4 linked regions of the Tamandua tetradactyla genome follow. The protein of the gene in region 1 binds, or shares a complex with, the protein of each later gene. Links are inferred from orthologs where the notes say so. Each region holds a gene or a part of one and is shown in the gene's direction. Other genes may lie near its edges. The genes, in order: DPM2, DPM3, PIGH and PIGP.

What was found.
Region 2: DPM2 (region 1) and DPM3 share a complex: the UniProt entries of both Homo sapiens proteins name them as parts of the dolichol-phosphate mannose (DPM) synthase complex. The link is inferred for Tamandua tetradactyla from reciprocal best matches to the Homo sapiens genes DPM2 and DPM3.
Region 3: DPM2 (region 1) and PIGH share a complex: the UniProt entries of both Homo sapiens proteins name them as parts of the glycosylphosphatidylinositol-N-acetylglucosaminyltransferase (GPI-GnT) complex. The link is inferred for Tamandua tetradactyla from reciprocal best matches to the Homo sapiens genes DPM2 and PIGH.
Region 4: DPM2 (region 1) and PIGP share a complex: the UniProt entries of both Homo sapiens proteins name them as parts of the glycosylphosphatidylinositol-N-acetylglucosaminyltransferase (GPI-GnT) complex. The link is inferred for Tamandua tetradactyla from reciprocal best matches to the Homo sapiens genes DPM2 and PIGP.

Annotation. Positions count from the first base shown.
Region 1 is NC_135328.1:50,786,717-50,793,613, reverse strand, and holds DPM2 (dolichol phosphate-mannose biosynthesis regulatory protein), read left to right. Parts: upstream 1-3,879; 5' UTR 3,880-3,973; coding exon 3,974-3,976; intron 3,977-4,267; coding exon 4,268-4,357; intron 4,358-5,161; coding exon 5,162-5,264; intron 5,265-6,196; coding exon 6,197-6,255; 3' UTR 6,256-6,892; downstream 6,893-6,897. UniProt on the Homo sapiens protein: Regulates the biosynthesis of dolichol phosphate-mannose. Regulatory subunit of the dolichol-phosphate mannose (DPM) synthase complex; essential for the ER localization and stable expression of DPM1.
Region 2 is NC_135330.1:8,128,575-8,133,886, reverse strand, and holds DPM3 (dolichol-phosphate mannosyltransferase subunit 3), read left to right. Parts: upstream 1-4,280; 5' UTR 4,281-4,335; intron 4,336-4,470; 5' UTR 4,471-4,475; coding exon 4,476-4,754; 3' UTR 4,755-4,809; downstream 4,810-5,312. UniProt on the Homo sapiens protein: Stabilizer subunit of the dolichol-phosphate mannose (DPM) synthase complex; tethers catalytic subunit DPM1 to the endoplasmic reticulum.
Region 3 is NC_135338.1:25,154,827-25,162,563, reverse strand, and holds the start of PIGH (phosphatidylinositol N-acetylglucosaminyltransferase subunit H), read left to right. Parts: upstream 1-4,732; 5' UTR 4,733-4,769; coding exon 4,770-4,955; intron 4,956-7,737. UniProt on the Homo sapiens protein: Part of the glycosylphosphatidylinositol-N-acetylglucosaminyltransferase (GPI-GnT) complex that catalyzes the transfer of N-acetylglucosamine from UDP-N-acetylglucosamine to phosphatidylinositol and participates in the first step of GPI biosynthesis.
Region 4 is NC_135336.1:104,908,958-104,916,633, forward strand, and holds the start of PIGP (phosphatidylinositol N-acetylglucosaminyltransferase subunit P), read left to right. Parts: upstream 1-4,649; 5' UTR 4,650-4,856; intron 4,857-5,273; 5' UTR 5,274-5,295; coding exon 5,296-5,377; intron 5,378-7,676. UniProt on the Homo sapiens protein: Part of the glycosylphosphatidylinositol-N-acetylglucosaminyltransferase (GPI-GnT) complex that catalyzes the transfer of N-acetylglucosamine from UDP-N-acetylglucosamine to phosphatidylinositol and participates in the first step of GPI biosynthesis.

The DNA of each region.
Region 1 (6,897 bases):
AGACTACCCCCAGAATCCTGCCACCTTGACCCTCTGACTGCTTAGTGCTTCAGCTGTCCCTCCCCTCTATCCTGGGGGATCCACTGGTGGCCTCCTCCTGGGAGCCAACACCTCAGACTCCACCCATGCTCTGGATTGAGACCTGACCCCACTCCCACCCCCTTGCAAACGAATGTTCTCCTGCTGCCCTGGCAGCCTGCACTTTGCACATGCTTGTCTCAGCACAGCTCCCACTGGCCCATTGTCTCCCCTTCCCAAGGATTCCTGAGCTCTGCCTGCTGTGCAGTCAGAGTCTCAGGGTCTAGAAGCCCGGCTGGAACGTGGCACTGCCTCTCTACCCTCCAATTAGCTCCAGCTCAGGCCTAGGACCTATGCTGAGAAAGGTCTGAGCATTGATGTGGTTTTCCTTTGCCCAGGGCAGGGTCCTGAGCAACTAACTTTTTCATGCAGGAGTGTCATGGAAGTGCCTCCCATGGTCTTGGAGATTGGGGGCCTAGCTAGGCTGGACTTGGCAAGCAAAGCCCTCTTTTCCTCCTTAGGGTCAGCTGACCCAGGCTGGAGAGGTGGGTAGGCTGTGACTAGGCCGGCCTGGAGCTGGGTTCCTGGCCGGAAAAGTACCTCAGCCCTCTAAAAGCACCCCCCATTTCTGGGCAAGGAAGAGGTGGAGTCCTTTAAGGGATGTATTCTTCCTCTGGGGAGCAGTCTGGTCCTGCCCTCCAACCCTCACTAAAGCCTCTGCTCTTAGCACTTTTCCTTCCCTAGTCCTCCTTACTTGCTTAAAGGTGGGGTCTGATTGCCAGCCAGCCCCTGGACAAACTCCACCTGCCCTTTTAAATTTCAGTCATTTTGTATAAACCCAGCAGGCTGGTGTTCAGTTAGACCTTCATGTATCTTCTCTTTCTTTTTTTTTTGGAGTCCACAGTTCAATCTTTTCTCCTCTCCCAGGTGAGGGGAGGTGGTTCTGTTCTCTACCCTACCTGCTGGCTGGTCCCAGCAGGGCTGGGGCTCTAGACAGAAGAGTGAAGATGCTGGGGCTCTCTGGCAAGTGAGGAGGTGTCCTCCCCAGGTCAGGAGGCTTCCTTGCCCAGTTTTCTGTCTGCCCCAGCTGGTAAGATATGGGGTTATTGGTCCTGGAACCTCACTGGTGTTAGGACCAGAGCATTTCTAGTAATTTTTTTTTTTTAAATCACCTACTTTTTTAAAAAAAGTGAATGTTAGAAGGTGCCTGCCATGGCAGGATGGAGTGTTTGCTCTGGTTAGGGAAGGTTCTGGTCAGCTCCAAGGATCCCTTCCTGCCCCACAAACATCTGGCACTTTGGAGGGAAACTGGCAGCACTGTCTCCAAATTGGATGACTCCCAGAAGATGGGGGAGCATTGTCCTTCTGTGTCAGCATGACCTCAGCTCAGTGAGGAGGGGCATTCAGGGTGTATTTTGGTTTTGGTTCAAGGGTCTGGGGCTTTAGGCACAAAACTGCTGGCTTTAGCACTGTTGGGGATACTCCCCCAAACCAGAACCCCAGCCCCATCAAAGTAGAGGTCTGAGCTTGAGTCACCCTAGAAGGAGACAGAGCCTGCCATACTCTTACACACGGCCCTTGGCAGGAGAATTTGATCAACTGAGAATTCGGCCAAAACCAAATGAATACTGGCTGGACCCAGAGGCCTGGACACCAGCCTCTTCTCCATGTGGGAACCCCTTCTTGGGCCTTCTGGCCCCCTCGAGCTCAGTGAATCCCTACCAGGCACCCACAGCTCTGGGTTTCAAATTCTATATATAGAGATAGAGAGAATATATTAGAGATATTTTTGGAAAGGAATCAGTCTATGCAATGCCAGTTTGGAATCTTCTTGAAAGACAGCTTAATGTTTTTATTAGGAGATTTAAAGAAAATAAAGGTCTACAGTATTTTTAGGGTTTTCCTTTGGTCACCCTACAAAATGACCATGTGGCATGTTCCACCAGGATGGAGAATGTCCACGTTTTCCTCTATTTAGGGAGATGAGGGAGGGGCATCATTTGTCCTTTTTTTTTTTTTTTTTAAACTTCCCCTCCTTTCTAACAGAATGCTGCCACCACTGCCCCCCAGATTCAGCGGGCTGTTTGTATCTGTCTCCAGCTTCTATTGTAGAAAATAACATTGTATGGGGAAATCAGTCTAGTGTCTTGGTTTGGGAAAAAAAATTAAATGTGGTTTTTGTTTTGGTATGGCATGTTGTTTTTTCCTTGTCACTTCACATTGGGGTTGGGGGTCACACAAAGACCACATGGGAAAGGAGCCAGAGTGAATGAGATGACTTTCCTGAGTGTAGGGAGGGTGCATGCCAGTGTTTTCTTCCAAGTTCTGGCTGCAGTCTTAACTATAACCACCTTTTCTACGCTGGATTCCTGGTGAGGAAACTGAGGCCCAAAAGGGCAGTTACTTGCCAGTCTTGGTACATACCTATTAAGTGGCAGGGCCTGTATTTGAACTTGTCTCTGACCTCAGAGGACTTAACCTCAGAACCAAAGTTCTAATCACTGCTCTGCAGCCTTCCCCAGTGGTCAGGTGAGCCTCAGGGCAATTAACTGTATCTTACACCTCAGTTTTTTCTATTGCAAAATGGAATTTGGGAACAAATGAGAAAGTGGATATACAGGCTGCCCTACAGAAGATGCTGAGCATATTCCCAAGCCCGGGTTGTCTCCAGGCTTGGCCTGGGCCCTTCATTATTCCCTGCCCCTTGCACAGCATCCAGGTAGGCTAGCCAAAATGGGAAAGGCAGATTGCCCTGGGACCATATTTAGAGCTCAGAAGTAGACAGAAGCCTCAGTGGCTTTGAATGGGACAAAAGGAACCTGGTTAGGAGACTAAGTTTGCCCCAGCCCAGCATTTAGCCCCTTTCGCAGAGCTGACCCCTATTCATGGCCCCCTTAAACTCTAGAGTCTAGTTTTCAGTCCCTTCCTCTGTGCTAGGCCCACATGGAATTGGAAAACTTGGCCCCATAGCTGAGCCCAAAGTCAATCCTACAGGAGGTGCTGAGCATGTTCCCAAGCCAGGGTTGTCTCCCGACTTGGCCTGGGCCCCTCACTTGCTGCCCCGGACTATCCTAAGTCACACAGCAGCTGGATGGCCTAGCCAGACTCATGAAACCTGATGGGTGAGGAGCAGCCAATCCTGTGACCGTGGGGAGGTAGCATTCCAGACCCTAGAACTGGAGGAGACAACAAAGATGATGTGGGCCAACGTCTTGTTTTCAGCAGAAAAGGTCTCCAAAGATAGGAAAAGGGTCTTGTCATGGGGCCGGTGTGAAGATTTGTCTGGGCCACTGTCACAGTGAAGGGACGGGGTGGCAGCAGGCTCTCCTGGACACATCCCCTGCGGTGAAGAGGGGACACCTAAAGGGTGGACAGCTAAGTAGGGCCTAACCCTCCGCCGGTGCTCTCTGCCCAACGAAATCTTCCCCCATCCCCGGAGGCTCGAGCCAGCCCCTCCTCCTCCAGTCTCTGTATCCCTCCCCCCAATAAAGACCAGGACCAGGAAGTAGGATCCTCTGTTTCTGGTGTCAGTTTCATCGCTGACACGGATTGTGAGCACCGGCAAATCTTTGTCCCTCTCTTCGCCTCACTTTCTCCATCTGAAAAATGGGACTGCCACTCCATCTAGTTCCGGTTTGGGATGCTGAAATATTTAGGGATGGATTTGGTTTCTGGGTTGGGTCCACAAGACTAAGGCCACAAGGACCAAGCAGTCTGGGTTTCCAACTCGATCCTATTCCCTAGAGGGATTCAGGGAACAACCTGCCCCACATTCCTTGAGAAACTACAATTCCCGACATGCAAAATTGATGCGACGGCCTATTGATCTCGAGCGACTTGTTCCGGGATCGGTCTGGGAACTACTACTCCCGGCGTGCCCCGCGTCTCAGAGCAAGAAGGACCCGGATCCAGAACCGGAAGTGGCTTTCTACTCTCGCGGCGGAGCGGCGGGGAAATGGTGAGGTTATGACTAGGTCTTCGAGGAGATGGGGCGCGTTGGGGCGGGGTCCGGAGTCCGTTCTGGGGCTTGGTCTTCAGCGCTCGAAACTGGGATTGCGCTCCCGCGGGCACATTATCCGGATGCAAACGCCGAGGACAGTACCCCCCTCTCAGCCTAGAAACCAATACCTAGTTAACACTCTATAGATCTCTTGAATGAATGGGAAGCTTAGAGTATAAGACATCCGCGCTGCATTAATTCACCTACATGGAGAATCACTTCTTCAACTGAACCCTCCCTTTTCTCCAGGCCACGGGAACAGACCAGGTGGTGGGACTTGGCCTCGTCGCTGTTAGTCTGGTCATCTTCACCTACTACACCATCTGGGTGATTCTCTTGGTACGTCTCCCTTGTCCTCTCCTGAACCTTTCCACATCCTTGGATCCCGAAACCGACTGCTAACACCGTTTAAGCACCTATTGTGTGTCAGTCACAGGCTAAGTGCTTTACCTGCCTTATCTCATTAAATCTCCAGAACCGTACCAGGAGGAAGATACTAGTGGTGTCCCAATTTTAAAGTTGAGAAGGCTGAGGCTCAGGGGAAAAGTCTGGCCCAAGGTCTCATGCTTAACCGCTACACTGTAAAGCCCTGTTCCTGAGTTCCTTTGCCTTTGATGGGATTTCCAGTTCTGGCTATTCTCCTTGCCCCTGGGTATGGCGAGTGCCCATGGATGTTGTGAGGGCCTTTAGGACTTTTTTTTCTTATGGGAAATGTGTTGGTTATTGCTTAAGAAGTGCAGTGTGTTTGGAAGGCAAAACCTTGAAGAACTTGTTATCCTTTGAAGAAAAATATTAGTCAAGAAGACCTTGGACCCCAGATTGGGAATCACTGGAGAATTCCTTATTTTATCCCTTACCTCTGCTAAGCCCTAGGGCAGGTTCCTTGTCTTCTGTTCACTGCCAAGTCCCCAGCACCAACCCAGAGCAGACACCAAGCCAGTGCCCAGTAAATAACCATTAAATAAATGAAAGAAGGAAACAAACCAAGAAATCCAAAATGCTGTAATCTTAAAAGCAAATGTCATCATAGTGCCCTGACTGGGGTCAGCCTCTGATGGAAGAGGCTGGAACATTTGGTCTGGGAAGCTGAGTGAACCTAGGCAAGGCAATTAATGCTCACTAGAGCTCTTCCCCCGATACCAGCCATTCATCGACAGCCAGCATGTCATCCACAAGTATTTCCTACCCCGAGCCTATGCTGTCGCCATCCCACTGGCCGCAGGCCTCCTGCTGCTCCTGTTTGTTGGTAAGTCATCACTCCCTCAGTCCTGGGCAGGACGATCTGCAGGGTCCCCATGACCCTCTCCCACCCTTGAACATGCTTCAGCATTTTGGCATACGCTGTAGATCTGCTTAAGGATCCTTACCCCAACTCTTCCCATGGGGTTTTCCTACTCATCCTTCAAGGCTGAAGGTCATTAACCCATCTGCTCTTTCTGATGCCGTGAGCTCATGTTCTCTCATGGGAGATCTCCCTTTTTCCTGCCCCCCACCTCCCCCACCACCATCACTCTTTTTTATTTTTTAAATAAGCTTTTTATTTTGAAATAATTTCAATTTACAGAACAATTGCAAAAATAATCCAAAACCCATACAGAGTGCTCTAGCATACCCCCCATCCAGATACCCATCTTCATTAACTTTCAGCCTTTTACCACATTTGCCTAATCATTCAACCTGTCTATCTGTCCTTCCGTCCATCTGTCTATCCATTCATCCATCCAAGAATTGTGTCTTAACCATTACTGTGTCCCCGACACCTTACACAGGGTTTGGCACTAAATTGGTGCTCAAGAAAGTGGTTTGGATGATTCCACAGTCAGATGACTGGATGATCCTAGATGGGTGGGTGAGTGGGCAGGTAGGTGATTAAGTTTTGAGTGTGGGCAGATGGGCGAGTGGGTACATAGGTGGGTGAGTAGGTGGATAGAAGGATGGATTTTATTTCCCATGGAATCCCAAACACCAAATATAGTGTCCTGCATGTGGTGGACACTCAGTTGGTGTTTGCTTAATTAACGTGAGTGAATACGTAGCTTGATGAATGACAGGAAGATGACAAAGTTGCCTGGAGTGTGGCGGGGTAGGCACATGTCCCGGGGTGGGGGTGACTTTGTCCTGCCCTGCCAGCATCCCTGAGCCCAGACTTATCCTGCATCTCTGGTCTCTAATATCCAGGAATGTTCATCACCTACGTGATGCTGAAGAATCAGAAGGTATCCAAGAAGGCCCAGTGAAGGCCCAAGGGGGAGGAGGCTGCCTGCCCCTTCTCTGCCTCCCCTTCATGGCAGGGACAAAAGATGGGAGCCAGCAGGACCGGTCAAGACACTGAAGCCTCTCAAGCCTGGCTGCCCTGAAGACATCCCATGGGATGGAGCAGTTCACAGCTCACTGTTGACCGCAGCCCCACTCCTCCCCTCCTTACCCTTCCAGAAGCCAGGAGTGGGGGTACCTGGAAATCTCCTTCTCACTCTCTTCTGGCCCAGGACCAGAAAGATGCTGGTACTTCCCGCCTCACCTACAGCCTCTCTGTCACTTTATTCTTCTAGGTTCTACTCTCTTGCCTCAGTTTCTCTCCTTTTATATGTTGGACTTAGCAGATTCTAAGGCAACATGCTGTGTCTCCCCATTATACTCACCTCTCCATGGAGGCAGATTTCCCAAGTCTGACACAGCCCCAGACCCTACTAGGACTTCTAGGCCTGGAAAGCCTAGGGGAAGGACTGATCTCCTGGATCACCGCCGTTAGAGTGATGGTGCATTTGGGTAGCCACACTGGACCCCCAGGCTGACCGCTTCTCTTCTTCTCTTCCCTGCCCCCTGCCCACTGATCTGGCCTGTTTGGAGAGTTTAACAATAAATATTAGTCATGTATTTGT
Region 2 (5,312 bases), on another chromosome or scaffold:
TGAGGTTCATGTACCATTGGCTCATGTCCACAGCAACAGAACTAGGTGCCTTCACCTGGCCAAGTTGACAACTGTATCTAACTACCACAATCCCCAAAGTCCAAACTTTTTTTTCTCTGTTATTAAAAAATTTTTTATTAATAAAACCAATCAACATACAATATGAACATTCTTTTTTTACCACATAGTTGTATATTCATCATCATGATCATTTCTTAGAACATTTGCATCAATTCAGAAAAAGAAATAAAAAGAAAACAGAAAAAAATTCATACATACCATACCCCTGACCCCTCCCTTCATTGATCACTAGCATTTCAACCTACTAAATTTATTTTAACATTTGTTCCCCTATTATTTATTTATTTTTAATCCATGTTTTACTCATCTGCCCATAATGTAGATAAAAGGAGCATCAGAAACAAGTTTTTCACAATCACACAGTCACACTGCGAAAGCTATTATCATTGTACAATCATCTTCAAGAAACATGGCTACTGGAACACAGTTCTACATTTTCAGGCAGTTCCCTCCAGTCCCTCAGTTATGCCTTAACTAAAAAGGTGATATCTATTTAATGCATAAGAATAACCTCGAGGATAACCTCTCAACTCTGGTTGGAATCTCTCAGCCATTGACACTTTGTCTCATTTCTCTCTTACCCCTTTTGGTGGAGAAGGTTTTCTCAATCCCTTGATGCTGAATCTCAGCTCATTCTAGGATTTCTGTCCCATGTTGCCAGGAAGGTCCAGATCCCTGGGAGTCATGTCCCACGTAGTCAAAGCGGTGAGTTTGCTTGTCGTGTTGGCTGAGAGAGAGAGGCCACATCTGAGCAACAAAAGAGGTTCTCTTGGGGGTGACTCTTAGACCTAATTTTAAGTAGACTTAGCTTATCCTTTGCGGGGTTAAGTTCATATGAACAAACCCCAAGATTGGGGGCTCAGTTTATTGCCCCCAAAGCCCAAACTTTCAACCTACAAGCCCCACTGCCTTCCACAGCCTGGTGTAACCAGGACGTACTGCATCCTGACATGCAGCAGAAGAGTGATGGTCTTCGGAGAGGTTGAGAAGGGAGGAATTGCACCATAAGAACCTGCCGGCTTTTGTTCAGTGCTGTCCCAGGCCACGGCTGGGTGCTACTGAAGTAGTTATATTTCCCAGGAACAAGGAGAGCAGGGTCACTTTCCTTCGAGGCCATCACATGGTGACCTATCCTTCTTCCCTCCTCCCTCCCTCCTACATTTTTAGGTGGTCTGCTGGGTTTCCCACTGTTTTTGGTCCTAAAGACATAACGGTCCTTGGCAGGACAAGCAGGGAATCAAAAAACCTAAAGCTCAATATGGTAAAAAAGAGGTCGGTGAGAGCACAGGGGAAGGACATGGTGACTATTCCTGCAAGGCAGGGCCGAGACCCGGGGAGGCTGCTTGGAGCACGTAGTGCTTGAACCGAAGATTAGAAACATATGTAAGCGCCTTTTCTTGTAGCACCTTTAGCGTCTCACTTTTCACATTAAAATTTTTAATGCGCTGGGAATTTATTTTGATAGAAGGTATGAAGCGGAAATCTAAGTAAATTTCCTTTTTCAAATTCTAAGTGATTTTTTTAAAAACAATTCCATCTTCCTTCACTGACTCGAGATGAGTATCACGGTGTATTTAAATTGGAGGGAGAAGAGGAGTATATTAGGAAGGTCAGGAATATAGGGAATGAATGCTCATCTTCCGTGGCAGACAGTCAACTGATTATATCTAAAATGGAAAATAAAAAACAAATAATAATAAGGATATGAGCGTGCTATTTAGAAATGTAGAGGTAGAGGTAAAACAGAAGAAGCAGCCAAGAAACTTGAGTAGTTGTCTCTGAGGAGTGTATTTAAGGGTGGAAAAAGTGGGACAGAGGACTGTTATTTTTCAATACAAACCTTGTAGAACTATTAGAACTATTTGACTTTTTAAAAAACTATGAATGTCTTGTTAAAGTAAAAATTAAGACAAAATGAAAAACATTTTTAAAAATCTGCTATAAAAAACATTCAAACTCGCACTCCCATCAGCCCAAATATCCCACCAATGGCTCGGTCAATGCCTCACTGGCCACAGTGACTTTCAGATACGGGCACAGTTTCAGATCCAGAAATTCTATTTTATTCACTCAGAGTACACCTGGCCATGGAACACTGACTGCTGCTCCCCAGAAATTTTTTTTTGGAGAAAGACAATGAGAAGGAGCTTGCCCCACCACACAAAAACAAGGAACTATAAAATTATAATAATAATCAGCAGAAGAAATACTCATCGAATGGTTATTGTGTGTCGTACCCTACATGACACTGTCATGTTGAATTTTCACAACATGCTAAGGTAGGTACTTTTATATCTCCATTTATGGATGAGGAAACTGAGACACAGGGAGGATAAAAGGTAAGTAATTTGCCCAATATTTATCATCTGCAAATAGTAAGTAGCAGAACTTTTGCATCCACCCGAAGCCCCATGTTCTTAGCAATCTTGGTCCACCGAGTTACTGGAGCAGGAATGGGCAGGTAAGGATCACTGCAAGAGCTGACGTTCATTACCATGTGCCAGGCGCTGTGGTGAGGGCTTCGTCTCATTCAATCTTCATAGCAACTCCATGAGGTAGGTGCTATTATTATCCCCATTATACAACTGAGGAGAATGAGAAAGAAATCAGACAATTGGACTCCAGAGCCTGCCTGCTTTACCACAAAACTATAGCACCTCCCTCTCTAGATCAGTGGAACAGAACAGAAAGTGAAAAAATAGGCTAAGCATATATGCAAATTTAGCATACGATAGAATGCATCATATATGTATTGTATCACATATGAATGTGAAAATATTCTTTGTAGTTGAGCCATGTAATGTTTGTACTAAGACTTTGGACCTGTAAAAACTGCTTTTGTTTATTAACAAGGACACAGGGCTGAGAAACCCCATTCTCTAAAATCATGGTCACGAACTTTGCTATTTGAAATCATATCAGGGAGAATGGAACATCCCACTCCAGCCTGGAGATCTAAGCCATGTGGGTTCTTTTGACAGAGAAAGCCTGGATTTCCAACCCAGATGCCGAGCTTCAGATAATGGGTTTTTGGATGCAACATTCCACATTTTAAAAATTTTATAGTTTCCAAGTGGATCCCGAGTCCACTTTTCAGCCCGGGCTTGTTGATCTCTTTACGTACAGTCACGTTTACGTTTGAACTTATCAAAATACTGCTTCATTTCAATTTTACCTAAACACGATCCTTTCACTTATCCCGTATTGAGCATGTTTCTTCCTCTGATGAGTTGCCCCACAATTCCTCTCTGGTGTGTGCGTCCCCTTGCATCAGCAAGGTAATAAAGATACTTCTGTCCAACTACAGGTGTGTTCCTGTGATCTTTATCAGACAGGCTTTATCAATTCTCTTTCATTTCTTTGACAACTGTTTACCCTGAAGTTGACACTGCCTGACATTTTCTTTTACTTTTTAAAAAATATATACCTATCATGAATTCATCCGAAAACTTTCTTAAAAGAAGCATACCCTTTCCCTCAACACCTTTTAACATATCCCTCCACCCCTTATTTTCCCCCCTTAGCTGCCCATTCCTGTGACAGTAATACGGAAGCGTGACAACTTTCCAGCTCCAAACTACTGGTAGCTCCCCCGTGCTTCTCTCTCTCTCTTTTTTTTTAACATGGGCAGGCACCAGGAACCGGACCCAGGTCTCTGGCATGACAGGTGAGAACTCTGTCACTGAGCCACCGTTGCCCCCGTGCTTCTCTTTTAAAATAGGGCAGGCTCTGTTTTAATATATCTCAAGGCATCATGGTTAGTAGTCAATGCCTCTGCTTCCCTGATTCTTCTTTTCCCCTCCTCTCCGGGAGCAGCTGAGTCTCTCGATACAACTCTGTGTCCCCAAAGTCTGTCATGGCATTTAAGAAAAGTTCGAGAGAATGAATGAATGACTAGGTACGTGAATAAATAAATAAGTTGGATTCCTGTGCAGGAGAACGGATCTGTGGGGAATATTACATGCCCACCTTGTAAGGCAAGCCCGATGGCATTTGCCAAGACCGCAGTCTGGAGTGGGGCCCGAGCGAGGGAAGCAGCCCTCGAAACCCGTTGACCCATCCCACGGTGCGCAGAGCAAAGGTCTCCAAAGGCCGCTTGGTTGTGGGGGGAAGATCTGGACCTCGCGTCCTCTTGGCACCACCAGGAAGACTACAATTCCCAGAAGGCCGCGTAGAGGCGGAGCATGCGCTGTAGGGCACTTCCGAGTGTTGACGTCAGAGCGGCGTGGGGAAGGGGAGACGCCGGGCAAAGAGGTAAATGTAGGTTGAGGGTTGTATTAAGAAGGGAGGGTGAGAGCGACGGAGGGGCGGAGATCAGGACAGGTGATCTGGAGGGGATGAAGTAGGACAGGTGGAAGGAACCCCAGCTTTGCTTTTCTCTTGCCACAGGGATCATGACGAAGCTAGCGCAGTGGCTGTGGGGACTGGCGCTCCTGGGCTCCACCTGGGCGGCCCTGACCATGGGAGTCCTGGGCCTGGAGCTGCCCTCGCCCTGCCGAGAGGTCCTGTGGCCGCTGCCCGCCTACTTGCTGGTGTCTGCCGGCTGCTATGCCCTGGGCACCGTGGGCTATCGCGTGGCCACGTTTCACGACTGCGAGGACGCTGCCCGCGAGCTGCAGAGCCAGATCCAGGAGGCCCGGGCTGACCTGGCCCGCAAGGGGCTGCGCTTTTGATACCTACCCCCATCCTTGCCCGGGCAGCCCTATTAAAGAGCAAGCTTATTTTCTACTTCGTTTAGTTTGACTATGGAGAATGGGAATTCGGGATTCGTATATACCAGCGGTAGGGAGGGGAGGGGTGGGGAGAACCAGTTTCCCGAGGCCATCACTGCCTTTGTATCCTGCTGATTTCCTTTTTTTGGATCAAATGAGCCAAAGACCTCTCTTCTCAAGATGGTTTGGGATGATAATGTCATTCTACTTTCTTGGTCCTTAAGCCTGTCAGAAAGTACTTCTTAAAGCCTAAACTCTCTTCTTCATAAAATCCGCCGTGGGTTCTTTTAAAGGCTTTCCAACTTCTTGGTTCTTTCAGATACCTTTCCTGAGCCAACCCTACTAGTCCTACAATAACTGGATCAGACAGCACACTCCTACCCAGCAGAGTAACCATCCAGTCACCACCCTTCCCTAGAGCAGGCAGTTTGAGATTCATGGAATGGAGATTTGGTGGTGATAGGAAGGGGTGGGTATCAGTTTATTTTAAGGCACATTCTAAAGATAATAGCCCCAACC
Region 3 (7,737 bases), on another chromosome or scaffold:
TGTTTGATTAAGAATTAACATCTGTTTCTTTTAAGCCAAAGCTCCATTTTTTTGTTCTTAACAAGTCCCTGGGTTGAATACTGCAAAGAAATGTTTTTTAGATTTATGTCTGTTATTGGAGAAAGTACTAATGTTGGCGATGGAGGTTTTAGTCTGCCCTTGCTTCTTGATCTGCTATTTGATTACTTTTTATAGCATCCATTTCTGCTTTCCGATGACTATAGCAATACATTATGGCAACTTCTTTAGGCAGAATCACTGCTTCACATTCAGTAGTCTAATTTAGAGGCTCTTGCTCTAAATCCTATCAAGACTTTATATAAGGCTGATTTTGCACTCATAGCAAAATCAGGTATCCAAATTCTCCGGAATCCTGCCAGCCCTAAGAATCCTCAAAGCTACCTTTTTGTAAGTGGCTCTACCACTTGGGCTAAAACGTCTCTGCAGTCTGGCAGTAAATTTCTCTGTCCCTTGGGTAACTCAAAATCTAAATATTTTACTGACTCTTGCGAAATGTAGGCCTTTTTCTTAGAGACTTTGTACCCTAGCTCTGCCAAGAAATTCAGAATTTCAATGTTGTTCTCATCTGATGCCAATTTGCTGTCAGGATATCGTCTACATACTATAATAGTACTCCTTCTTGTAAGTGTAAATCTCTTAAAACTCTGGCTAATGCTTCTCCAAATATTGTAGGTGTGTTTTTAAATCCTCGTGGAAGAACAGGCCAACGATATTGTTGTTTTATGTTAGCAATGGGGTCTTCCCATTTAAAGGCACACAGTTCTTAAGATCATGGGTCAAAGGGTATACAGCAAAAGGCATCTTTAAAATCTAAGACAGTGAACCAACAGAGATCTCCAGATAATATAGTAAAGTATATGGATTTGGAACTACCAGATGGATATCTTCTACAATTTGATTAATGGCCCAGAGATCTTGTGCAAACTGGTATTCATTTAGGGTGCCTGGCTTTTGTACTGGCAATATTGGAGTGTTATACGGAGATTGACAGGGTCATATTAATTGATATTTCAAGACGGTCTCTCTTAATGGAGTAATTCCTTCTCTGGATTCTAGTTTAAGTTTTTTAAACCATATTGTTTAATATGGTGTATACAGTACTTGGCCTTTTATTTTTTTTTCCCTGGGTGCATGGTCCAGGAATTGAACCCAGGTCTCCTGCATGGAAGGTGGACATTCTAACCACTGAACTACGTGTGCATCCTGTACTTGGCTTTTGAAGTTTTACTTGGATGTCTTACTGTCTTTGCACATCCAGTTTTCCATCAGCCCATGCCTCAGCATTCAAAATTTCTTCTGAGATAGACATGTCTGCTTATCTCCTTCATTGAGCAGCAGGGAAGCTTGCAATGCAAAAGCTTGTCCTGGAGGCATGTCTGTTGACAAGTAAACTGGAGAAAAGGGTATCTAGGAATTTTGCTTGGTCAACAGGTCCCTTCCTAGCAAGGGAACCAGACATTCTGGTACATACAGGAAACTATGCTTTAAATTTTTGGTCCCAATTAGGTAGTCTAGCAGCTGTAAAAATGGTTATTTGCCTCACTCCAGAAAAAGAAAAAAGAAAAAACTTATATATACCCATTGCCCCTGCCTCTCATTGACCACTAGTATGTCAATCTACCCAATTCATTTTACCCCTTATCCCCCTATTATTTATTTATTTTTTATCCATATTTTTTTACTCATCTGTCCATACCCTAGACATCCTAAAAATGATCATGGTGATGAATATACAACTATGTGATGATATTGTGAGCCATTGATTTTACACCATGTATGGACTGTATGGGCGCAATGATGTGTCAATAAAAATATTTAAAAAACAAAACAAAAACAACTTAGTCCCTGTTGTTATAAACTTCAAAAGTGATTTCAACCAACCTAGAGATAGGCAATCCCAGTCCTCCATCAATTTTCTGTAGCTTTCTCCTTATTTCAGAAAACTCTGAGTAATAAAAGTCATATTTAAATTTCTGGCATTCTCTGGACTTTCTAGATCTATATCCATGTACTGCCAAGTAGTATAAATTCCTTCAAGGAAAGCTGAGGAACTTTCCTTTGGCCCCCCTGCCTTACTTTGGTTATCTTTTGTAAGTTTATAGCCTGAGGGACCCCCTTTTTGTAGGCCCTCAACAATGCACTCTTTATAAAGTTTAGCCCAGTCACCAGCATCATTCGAATTCCACTCAGGGTCACTGGTTGATGCTGCTAAACTTACTCCAGCATACATTGGGTTGTCAGGATTTTCTCCCTGTTTCTTATCTCCTTTCTACTTTGTCTTTTCTATTACCATTCTCTGTTCCTCTGTTATCAGGGCATTTAACAAATCCGTTGCAAATATCAAAGCAATTAAGCTTTCCATTTTCTTCAGGCCTTCTATAGAAGGCCAAATTGAGTAAGCTGATGGGTATGGGAAGGGGAGACCATTCCCGTCTCAGGCTCTTTTACCTCTGATAAAGGGGGATACAGAGGAGGAAGTAGGGGAGCTTCCTCCCTTTCTGATCCATTAGTACCCTTAGCTATAGGGTGGAGGTGGGGCAGATGAAGGAGTTAATAAAGGTTCTATTAGATCCACCAGATTTGAATCAGGGAGGACATTTTTCTTTTCTTAGCTATCCTCTATAGGTAAAATTCTACATTTTCCTATCAACATTGATTGCTGGGAGAGAACAAATAAAGGATTGAACATACATCATCTCATCCCATTTCTGCTCTCTTCTGCAAAACAACTCTAATACAGTATGCTTTTCTATAGAGCCATTCTCAGGTCATTTCTTTCCTGATTCTAAATCATATTGAGGCCAGACTGTGTTACAGAAGTAAACTATTTTTGCTTTTGCTTTTTTTCATAGGCTTATAACTAAAATCTTTCCAATATTTCAAAATACTGTCCAAAGGAATGCTATTGGATTTAGAATTTCTCATTTTGAAGACTTTCTGCAATCAGTAACCAATTAGTAATTAGTAAAAAATACAAATGCAGGATAAACCAATAAACAAACACTTAACACTTAACTATATTTAAGTAACACACCAATTAATAACTAGACTAGACACAAGAATTAACAGGCATTAAATGCTTAACACACCAATTAACAATTAAACATTAAACACTTACAATACCTAGGTAACACACCAACTGGCAGTTAAACAGGCCTACTCAATTTCACAAACACCAGTTAACTGTTGGATTATTTATTTTCCAGGAGTTTAATCAACAGACAAACTCAGGTCTGTACTCAGGTACAGAATGGTACCCAAATACCAGAAAGGTGTTGAGGTCAGACCAAGGGGGATCATTCTGGAAGGGAGACTCTGGCCTTCCAGCCTTGGTCTAGGGGACTCAGACCGCTGAACTAAATTTCCAGTCTGTTCTTACTCCTTGATGATCCGCTCACATCAGTTGTCTGGATTGGAACTGGAAGGAGTTTCTCTCTTTAAAGTTTCTCAAGGCTCCAAAAGGGTCTGGAGTACTGGCAGGACGGATAAAAATCGAATGGCTTAGCCTCTGTTCTATAACTTCTTGTTAAAATGCACTTTGAAATTTATTGCTTTTTTTTGTACATACGTTATATTTCACAATATAAAAATGTTTAAAAATTAATTTTGAAATAAAGTTTTATCAGAATGACTTAGAAAAAGAAGATTCAGGGCATAGAAATAAAGCTGGAAAAACAAAGCGATCTTTGAAGAAAATCATTAAGAAAAAAAAGGAGGAAACAAAACCCTGGATGAGGATGAGTCTGTTTTGCATTAGAAAGACTTAAAGCTGGTGAGAACTTTATACCGTTTATCTTCATGCACAAGGGGATCAATTCATTATCCATGATGCTGTCTCAGGGCTGAATTATCATAACGGTTTTACGGGCCACAAAGCCCTGCTGTTGCGTAATATCGGTTAGAGGAGAGAACCCAGAGGATTTTATTACTTAAGAGTTTAGAAATTTTATTATCCACGCCCTCTGCGTCCCCCCCCCCCCCCCCCCCCCCCCCGCCCCGGCTGCCTACCTCAGCCAGGATTTGTGAATGTCTCCATTCTGGGGTTTGGAAGAGAAATCCTAAGCAGTGAAACCCAAACTCCTTAACGAGGGCCTACAAGATCCTCTAGATCTCACCCCTACTTAATTCTTTAAATTTCAACTGTTTTCCCCACCCATCAGCTTCTCCGGCCTTTACAGTCTTCAGTAAGCCAACGTTGTTCCCAGCCTTGGTGAATTCGCTCTTGCGGGTCCAGACCCGAACCTGACTCGCTGTTTTAGCTCCTATGCCCTCTATTTCACAGGGACGTTCCTTGACTGCCCTATTTAAATTCCCGAGCCCACCCGTACGTTCCATCACATTATTGGCAATGGCACTCTCTGAAATTATTTCCATATTGTTTCCTCTCACTAAGAAGGAAGCTACTTGAGGAAGGAATAGCTGTCAATGTTGTTCATCACTGTATCTTCCTCACCTAGAACTCACAGGCACGCAACAGGTGCTCATTAAATATGTGCTGAATGAATCAATGGAATGAATATTTGTGGACTGTCTCCTTGGGGTGCACTCTGGCTTAGAGATAGAACGACTTCTCGGGCAAAAGTAAGTTTGATGTCAGCACTCCCAATCTGCCGCAGAGATGCCGACCCCACACGATTTTGTAGAAGAGATACCGCCACAGCGCATCGCGCGGAACTGCGGCTGCGCGGAACGTGTCTTGGGGCGTGGCTGACGGCGCTCTCCCGAAGTGTGTCGGGAGTCGACTTGCGATGGCCATGGAGGACGAGCGGAGTTTCTCGGATATCTGCGGCGGCCGCCTGGCCCTGCAACTCCGCTACTACTCCCCTTCCTGCCGGGAGTTCTGCCTCAGCTGCCCTCGGCTTTCGCTGCGTTCGCTCACCGCTGTCACCTGCAGCGTGTGGCTGGCGGCCTACGGCCTCTTCACCCTCTGCGAGGTAATGGCCGGTCAGCCCATCCGGGCCCTCGGAGTCGGGTGCTCAGGTTTCGAAGGCCTTTGGTCTGGTGGGCGAGCCGCGGCCTCTCATCGTACCCCAACTACTGTAGTAGGGACGATGGGCGGGAACTCATTGGTTTCTGGGGGCGCCACTGCATTGCTGGACAGCTCTTTTCATTTCGTTTAGTGAAGTTTGCTCGGGTACATTCTGCCTCTTATGGGTTTCTCCTCTGCTCTGTGGCTCTATCCAGCATACATCTAGTCTTGGCACGACAGCCTAAAACTTGAACTTCCATGTACTGTGTGTCGTAATGCTCATAGAAATTTAATTCCAAGTGTTCAGAAAACTTAAGCGGATCGTTCTCATCCATCACTTCCAGTCCTTAGAGTTAACAAAACCTTGTATAGTCTTCCAGAAACTGTTTCTGCTTCTCGGTGTATGTGTGTGTATTCCTATTTTCTCTTAGCCTGTTTTCACATCTCTAAAATGTAATTAATGTCTGTCATGCTGGGGTCAAATACAATAAACTGTTACAGCATTCAAAGAAATGATCCAAATTGCTCTTCTCAGGTTGAGTTCTGGTTTTCCAGGTAGTACCCTGCATTGAATATGTTATTCTGGGAGTCATTTGATCAGAGCTAAGAACAGCAAGACTATTTACTTCTGTAATATAAATGTTGTCCCCATTACTGCGTCCGTTAGCTTTTGTTGCCATTAAAGCACATTTCAGAGCATGATAATTTTAGCATAGATATGTGCAGAATTACAACTGCCCTGAGTTGTATCAAGTTTTATCTAAAAGTTTGTTCATGTCAGCTGAAATGATGCTACAAATGAATGAATTGCCAGGACAGTCCGCAAAAAAAAAAAAAAAAAAAAAGATTTAATTTATGATATAGTTAATTTGCTAGCTTGAGTTCTAGCTATGTGGTGAAAGGGGAACAGATATAATGCCCATTGAATGCCAAGTGCTTTACTGAATGTCAGACTTCAACCTTAGAAGAAAACCAAGGCTCAGAAAGAATAATAACTAAGGTCATAAATCTAGAAAGTGGCAGACCTGGGATTCAAACCCAGGGGTGTCAGACTCAGACTCTTTTTTTTTATTCCAATATATTATGTTGCCCCCTCCATGGGAAAGAGTGATCTTAGACACATTTTTAAAATAGGAGAAAGTTGTTTTTATGCCAGCTCTCTTTTATACTCTTTTCTCTCATTCTGTTGTATCACATTTTTTGCCCCATCAACTGCCTGCCTAGGACTCAGTGGCCTCACTTCTTTTACACTCTACTGCCAACACTTCATAAGGGCTCTGTGTACCGAAATTTCTTATCTTTCCTCCTATTGAAAACTTTTCCTCAGAGTAATAAATCTTGGTAGGCATTAGGAGTGAGAAAAAATCTGATTGCAGGAATTTGTTCAAAACGACTTATAGTAGCTTAACCCCAGCCCAAATGAATATTGAATTGTTGGGATTATAGACAGAAAAATAATAGGATGTAGGAAAAAATGCAGGTAGCAATGAAGTTTTGTGCAGGGATTACTTTATTAGAAAGCCTGGATCAAATCTCCTAACCTTTACTGTTCTTCCATTCCTTCTTCCCTTCCAATTTATTGCAACCTGTAATGTTCTTTCCCCTTCCTTTCCAACTAAGTATATCTGTCATTACCCACCACTACCTCCTCTAAGCCAGTTAAATTGGGCTCCCTTGGAAGTGTTCATGGGATATTTCAGTGCATTTTAATCTCTCTCTTTTACACCTTCTTTTGGCATTTATAGTCAGTATCATGGTATTTTCTAAAATATTTTGTGTGTAGTAGCCTTGCCTCTACTTAATCTATAAGGGCCAGGAGTGGATTTTATTTCTATTGTTCCATAATCTTATTCAGTTCAGAGTATGTACAAGATACTACTAGATACCAGGAGGGTAATTAACTCAAAGTAGGTATTTCTTAGTCATTGGAGAACAGCAACAAATCCTCCGTTCATTAGGTAACAAGCAATTATCTAGCACAGGAGTCAGCAGACTTTTGTTTTAAAGGCCTAGGCAGGGGGCCCCATGTTGTCTTTGCTGCATATTCTTTATTTCTTGTTTTTGTTTACAACTCTTTAGAAAATGTAAAAAAAAAAAAAAAATCCTAGCTTGATGTCAGTCAGATAGAATAGTTTGCACTTATTATTTGTGTGCTGGTTTGAAATTGTTGTGTACCCTGGGAAAGCCATGTTCTTTAATCCTGATTTAGTATTGCTGGTGGGACTTTTTGATTAAGTTGTTTTCATGGATTCATGACCCACCCAACTGTGGGTAGGACATTTTGGTTAACTGGTTTCCATGGAGATGTGTCTCCACCCATTCAAGTTGGGTTGCTTACTGGAGTCCTTTAAGAAGGAACCATTTTGAAAAAAGCTTCAGAGTTGACACAGACCAAGATCTTTGGAGATGGAGTAAGAAAATGCCCCCAGGGAAGCTGTTTGCAACCAGAGGCCAAAGGATCAGCAGATGTCAGCCATGTGTTTTCCAAGATTGGCCTCTTTTGAGTCAATGTATATTTTTCTGGATGCCTTAGTTTAGAAATCTTTATGGCCTTAGAACTATAAATTTGTTACTGAGTAAATTCCCTTTATAAAAGCCAATACATTTCTGGTGTATTGCATTTCAGGTAGCATCAACAAACTAAAAGTGATTTTGGTACCAGAGAGGTGGGATGTTGTGATTTGCAAATACCAAACATGTTGGAATGGCTTTTTAAATGGATAAGGGGAAGATTCTGGAAGAATTAT
Region 4 (7,676 bases), on another chromosome or scaffold:
GGATATCAAAATATCTTGGAAAGCTATAGCATTAATAACTAAGGCGGAGTCTACAAGAGGTTAAGGGGTATGGGATGTAACTTTTTTCTTTTTCAAGAGTGATACAAATGTTCTAAAAAATGATCATGGTGATGAATACACAACTATGTGATGATACTGTAAGCCACTGATTGTACACCACGTATGGAATGTCTGCGTGTGAAGATGTGCCAATAAAAATATTTTTAAAATAACTAAGGCAGGGTGATATCACCATACTGCTAGACAAACTGACAAATAGAGAAAGCTGAGCCAAAAACAGAAGTATGCTACAGAAACTAAATATGAAAAAAAAAAAAAAGGTGTTACGGTGGATCACTGCACCAACTGAAAGCCAATGCAGTACATAATAGAGACAACTGTAGCTACACAGGATTAAAAAAAAAAAAAGAATGTGGCTCACTACCTTACACCATGCATAAAAAATTAATTCCAGATAGATTATAAGCTTAATATGAAAAGCAACACTTTAAAACAAACAACCAAAAACACACAAGTGAATGCCATGTGATCCCAGAGGAAGGAAGGTTTCCTTAAACAAGACACAAAAGGAGCTAACCATAAAAAAGGCCAGTCAATTAGATTACAATAAAATTAAGAACTTTTGTTTGCCAAAATATACAATAAAGAGTATAAATCAGGCTACAACCTGGATGAAGATATTTACAATGCATATCATCAATAAATATTCAGTGTTACCAGTGCATTTATTTTAAAAAACAACACAACAGAAAATTGGGTAAAAGATACGACCAGGTATTTCATAAAAAAGGAAACAGGGATGGTCCATAAACATATGAAAAGATTCCAAACTCATTAATAATCAAAGAAATGCAAATTAAAACCACAATGACATAGCATTCATGGCCATTAGATTGGCAAATACTAAAACATCTGACAATATCACATGTAGAGGAAGCGTATCATCTTTCACTTACATAGTGCCAATCAATTTAAATAAATTGCTGAAACTGGTGTCCAAAGTAAGTAAACTAGTACAAGCACCTGGGAAAACAATGTGACATCATTTTGTAATGCTGAACGTTCTCATACCCCATGAGCTAGCAATTCCACTCCTAGCATACAGATTATCAAAGTGATATTCCAATATTTTTGTTGCTAACATATTCCCAAAAAAGCTTTTAAAAACTACAGTCTTTCATGCATTGACATCTAAAAATTGCAGCATAAGTTTAAATAATTGTAAAAGATGGATTTCCAGAGTATCATGGAGACATTTAAAAATAAACTGATATATTGGATGAATCTTTTAGAAAGTGGTAGAGCTACCATGAAAGGGAAGGTGAGAAAGGACAACCAGCAGGAGGCCTGTATCGCAAGCCTCAGGCATTACCAATTTTAGGAAAGAATACATATGGAATTTAAGGATCTAAAAATTGATTATTACACCATCTCTGCCCAAGTACTCCTTAGAACGTCTTTATCCCCCACCCCAGCAGGGAATATAGCCTCCAATCTGAAAATAGAAATTTCTCAAACTGTAACAGAATATATGACAGGAACCTTCCTAACAACAAAAACTTGGAAACAAACAAAATGTTTATTCACAGAATGCATAAACTATGCCATATTAACACACATGGAATTTTACACAGCAATGAAAATTAGTGACTTACATCTGTACACAATTGCACCAGTGACCCTTAAAAACATAATGCTGAATGAAAGAAATTCCAGAAAACTATATCCAGTATGATCCCGCCCCCCCTTTTTAAATTCAAAAACAATAGAAACCATACAATACACTGTTGAGAGGTGTATAGACATCTGATGAGATTATTTTTAAAAAGGAAAGAACAAAATTCAGGAACACAGTCACCTATGAAGTGAGGACATGCAATATTGGCAAATTTGATTCTTGGGCTGAGTAGTGGAGTCATGGTTGTTCATTTTACTTCTTAGCTTCATAACTTACATATATGTTACATATATTCGTGTGTACCAAATACTATATGAAAATAAAGAGGAAAAGAAGAGTAAAAGAAACCATTCATCATTATGAAAAAAACTATTTTAATTAAATCATCCCATCTGTCACTAGATAGTAGGGACACATACCACGGATATTATCTATACATCAGCCATAAGAACCAACACACATTAGGTACATAATAAATATTTATTGGAATTAATCTTATGAAGACCAAATGAGATAAAGACTCAGCCAGTCAGCTGTGAGATGAGTCTGAACTTATGTACAGGGCTCGGCAAAACACAATGTGCTGCAGTCAACTTTAGCAAAAAGCTAAAGCTTTAAGGATGCTGGTCTGTAAAGAGAAGGCAAAGATGCAGAAGTAGGATTCCATAATGATATGAGGAAACAGGTGTTGTCATTTAACACTACTGAGAGTGAAAACTGGTACAACCACTCGGAGAACTTCTGTGACGTCAGTTAGGCTGAAGAGGCACATATCCTACTATCCAACAAATCTACTTTTAGATGCATTTCCAAAAGAAACTTTCAAATGTGTGCAGAAGCACACTGGCACAAACATGTTTATGGCAGAATTGTTTTAAGTAAAAAACTGGAAACAACTTCAAAATCCATCAATATAGAAAGGTATATATTATGGTATATACAAAGGAAATTCATACCATCAATTAAAATGAATGAATCCAAGGTAACAGTGTTCCAATTTATTCATATATAAATCTCAAAATGGGATGCTAAGTGAAAAAAACAAGTTGCAAGACACTATTTACTACCATTAGTAAAGTTTAAAAACAGACAACACTATTGTTTTTTTTTTTTCTTTTTTTTCACAGGCAGGAACCAGGAACCGAACCCAGGACTCTGGCATGGCAGGTAAGAACTCTGCCACTGAGCCACCGTTGCACTGCCCAACACTATTGTTTTTTGACTCACTGTAATTGATCAAAGTACAAAATGTGGAAGGGAATGCCATACACACACCACAGTGGCTACCCCTAGGAAAGGAGGGGGGGAAAGGGTGAACATCTCCAAGATTTGCAACATTATATCTCTTTTAAAAATAACTGCGGTAAATTTGGTAAATGTTAACATCTTGCCAAATCTTAATCACAGAATGGTTAAATCTCCCCCCTGTACTTTACGTGTGGAATATTCCAGAAATTAAAAAGAAAAATTAAGCAGAGAGAGACAACAAAACGCAACCCTTAAGAGTAGCTGGGTTCCTGATAGGTTTGAAGTTTCCGTTTAGCCTTATAAATAAACCCTATCTTCCTTAAGATAAGATGAAAATTTCCTGCAATTAATAAAAGTGCTCTACGGTCATACTTAAGAGGAAACTGCACCCAAAGGAAGAGGAGTATAACGTGTATTTCTACCTTGTTTCCCTCACCAGGATGTTGGGCATAAGCCACGTGAAAACCATAACACATTATTTAAACCACTACATATTATCAAGAACGTCCCGGGTCGCTAGAACGTATTTTGGAAGGAGTTTGGAGGACTTCGGGAGTCTAGGACTACCAGTCCAAATTCACCTACGCCTCGGTCCCCCTATTCTGTCGGAACAGGCTGGCTTTCAGGCCATCCAGTCGTCAACACCAGAAGCAGCTGACCCGACCCGCTACTGCCCTGCCCCTTCGCCTTAGCCTTTGGGAGAGGGAAGATGCCCCGGAGACCCAGAGCAGGGAAGAGCGCGGGGGATACTTCCCTCCCATTCAGATCCATTCCTTGGGGAGGGGGCAAGCCTTGGGCTCAACTGCCAGCTCTCCCGAAAACAGGTGGCAGAGACGTAGATAACACACACACACATACAGACACACACACACACACAGCGAACGCGGCGCGCCCAAACGTTCACCAACAAAAACCGCGCACGAGAGGTCACACGCTCGACAGGACAGATGGGCACGAGCGCGGAGCGCTCCCGGGGGCGCTCTCGGACACCCACTCGCGGGCGAAGCTCCGGGCGGGGGGAATCTCACCTGAAGGAGGCGCGGCCCCGGGCACAGGGGGCGCGCACCCAACAAGCAGGAGTAAAGACACAATGGGGACCCCCACAGAGGTGGGGAGGGCGGGCGCGGGTACAGCGGGGGGACACACACGGAACGCGCGCAGGCTGGGGGGGGCCCTCGCTGGACTAGCAGTGTCCCCCCCCCACGGACGGAGGCGAGGCGCGCACCAACACAGGGGGAGCCACACACAAAGGGACCCCTGCCACCTTCTCACGGACACCCAAAGGGGCTCAGGCTTGCAAGAAGGGGGGCCTCGGACAAAAGCGACACACCCACTGGGCCAAAGACGTCCACACCCCTTCAGTGCCCGGACACCCCAACCAACGCAGACACACAGCTGGGACGATGGCGAGGGGCGAGCACACACCCACATTCATCACACGCCCACGCAGAGGCGTGCGACCCACGGCCCGCTCTCCCCGGGCATCTCAGCTGCAGCGGGAAAGGGTGATGCGCCAGGGGCCCCGCCGCCCGGAAAGGAGTGCACTCACCCGGGCCCACAGCCCGCGAGCTTCGGACGCGGGCCGCCGCCGCCGCAGCCGCAGCCGCCGCAGCCGCGGGCTCTCCACGTCAACCAGACGCGGGAGGGGGCGGGCGGCGCGCTAGTCACGTGGGCGGCAGCGCACATGCGCAGTCACGCCGTACCGTCTTCTCCCGCGGCGGCAAGCTACGGGATCCCGCCCGCCCCCGCGTCTGCCTCCAGCCAGCTCGGAGGAGTGTCGTCCTGCGCCTGCGCTGGGCGGGGGTGCCTTTGCACCTTCGCAGTCCGCTCTACTATTCCTTTCTTGCAGTTCCCTGGTCGGCGCCTGCGCCGAGGACCCAGCGCTGAGGTGGCCGTGTTGGCGGGAAGGGTGCGTGAAGGGCCCAAAGCCGAGGCCTCCCCACCGCAGCCCTTGAACGGGCCCTCGAATAAGAAACAGAAGCCCCCCGGGGAGGGCTGGGTCCGTGTCCTGGATATGGTGCGCGGGTCCGGGTCTCTGCCCTTCCCTGCCCTTTGAGCCCTTTCCCGTGGGAAGGCGAGCAGCGTTCGTCCTTTCCAGCTCCCACCCTCCCCGCTCCGCGGCAGGTGGTGCGCGCTCATCGTGGATGCTTGTTGCGCGCGTGCACGTGGGCGGAAGGGGGCGGGGGGCTTGTTGCGCAGTTTGCAGTGGTTTAGGCAGAAATAAAAACCCGCAGAGGCCGTGCCCGAAGCCAAGAGATGAGGTTATAGTAGACCAGTGGCGAAGGGGGATAAATCACTGACGAATTACTGTGTTTCTTTTTCACAGATTATCTGAAGCCACAGGGAAAATGGTAGAAAATTCACCTTCGCCGTTGCCAGAAAGAGCGATTTATGGCTTTGTTCTTTTTTTAAGCTCCCAGTTTGGCTTCAGTAAGTATTTTCCTGATGGGTGGCAAGGAGCCCTCCCTGGTGTTCCAGAATAAGGAAATGTTCCAGTTCTTAGAATGTGCACACGTCAACTTTTGATTCTTTCTACCAGTGTTTTATTTAAAGAAAAGTAAGGGAGCTTCTGTCTGTTCAGCTTTAATCTCAGCAAATGATTCTACAGCATCTGATGTGATAGCAAAGTGAATACAACCTGGTCCCTGCTCGTAAGGTCACAGTCCTGTGGTCAGAACACACAGGAGTAAATCTGCAGTTAGCATTTAGTGAGATCAGTGCAGAGAGAGCCCAGTGGAGGGACTGTGAGTTAGAGTTGTCTTTCTCCCGGGGACATTATCCCTGACACTTAGACTGATGAGAGAATAAGGGAGAGTGAAGGACGAGGTGGGAAGGCCTTGAATGAAGGCATGACAGGAATGGAAGTATTTTCGTATGGCTCCAAGGTTGCCTGCCAGAGCTGGGGAGTGATGGAATTAGGCTAGAGAAGTCAGTTTGAAAGGTGTACTCTTTATATCCTGGAAATCAGTTAGTTCTTCTAAAGCACTTTACAGGCAAGGAGATGGATGCTCATTGAGAAACTGAAAATGATTGGAGTCACACAGCAGGTCCCAAATCTCTCCCCAAAAGGATTTGCAAATAATGAGGGAAACTAGAAGGAGAAAATCAGGTGTCCCAATCCACCTTCCTAAAATCCAGGGAGGTGAGGAAGTGAAGAATTCTACCTGCACCATCAATATAGCTTGGAGATGGGCCGAACAGCTGAGCTGTTAGCTAAAGTAGTCTGCATTCTCCTAACCCCAGGAAGTATCTGTGTAATTGCCATTTGCTTAACCTCTTTGAGCCTTCAGGTTCCACATCTGTAATTAGTGAGTGCTAATTCACATAATCGTGTAAATTAGATACTCTTGCTATTGTCCTCATTTTACAGATGAGAATACTGGGGCACCTAGGAAGGTTTAAGTAACTTGCCCAGCATCCCAGTAAAGATAGAACTGGGATTTGGAACCGGGTACACTGTCTTCAGAGTCTGTACTCCTAAACCTCTTAAACATTCTGCTGCCTCTAAATGCTGTTGTGAGAACTAGTTAGGGTAATTTAACACAATGATAGGATACAATAAGTCCTTGATCAATATTAGGTGTTGCTGTTATTTTATCATTGTCTTCATTTTTGTAAATCCCTGATCTATAAAGTATTTGAAGGATTAGGAACATACCAATAAGTAAAAGTACTGACCTTAAGACTTAAATCAAGTAAAGTCCACAACATAACCAAAAATTAATTCAGCTAATGGCTATGAGTGCTTATTGTATGACAAGCATTGTTTTAAGTCAGGCAAGTACAAACCGGACAAAAGTTCCTGGCCTCAGTTTTCATAGTAGTGATGAACAGATTAAACAAGTAAAATGTACTCAGTGTGAGATGATGACATATACTGTGAGAGGAAATTAAGCAAAATAGGAATGAGAGGAGGTTGCAGTTTTGAATAGGATAGGAAGTGCCTCATTGAGAGACTAGGTTTGCGCACCGAAATAAGAGAGGGAGTTAATCATGGGGCTGTCTGGGAAAAGAGCATCCCAGAAAGAGATCAGCCAGTGGAGAAGCATGGGGAAGAAGCATGCCTGTGTGCTCAAGGAGCAGCAGGAGGCCAGGAAGGGCGAAGCCTGAGAAAGTGAGGTGGAAAGTAGTAGAAAGAGAAGGTTGAAGGCCGGGACCAGGTAGTTACGAAAAAACTAACGGTGGGTGCAGGAGGGTTGCAGGATTTCTCTATACCTTGAAATATTTACTGACCTAAAAACAAGATGATTATGGATTATGATAACTTTAAAGGAAATAAAGGGAAATGATAGAATATGGGGCAATAATAATTTTGTTGGTGTTGAAATTACTAGTCACCCAATCTGAAAACCTCAGTGGTGGTCTTCGCTTGTCCTTTTCCTTCTCCCCCAAACTCTTTTTTCTGTTACTCACTGAATCTAGTGGAATGGGCTTCTTAACTACCTCTAATCTTATCACCAACCAATACATCCTCCACACAGCTCCCAGTGTGACCCACTCAGAATGCACATATGGAGTCCCCCTGCTTTTTGGTTGGAGCATGGTGGTTATTTTTCTCTTACTTTTCTGTGTTATAAAGTAGGGAAGAAAAAAAACCCTCAATTTCTCCCATTACCTAGAAAAGAAAGCCCATTGTCCAAGACCTTTCATGATTTGGGACTCGCCGGCTTTTCCACTTTGTACCTCAACACTCACTACTTTGTGCTTTATGCTGTAGCAACTCTCAACT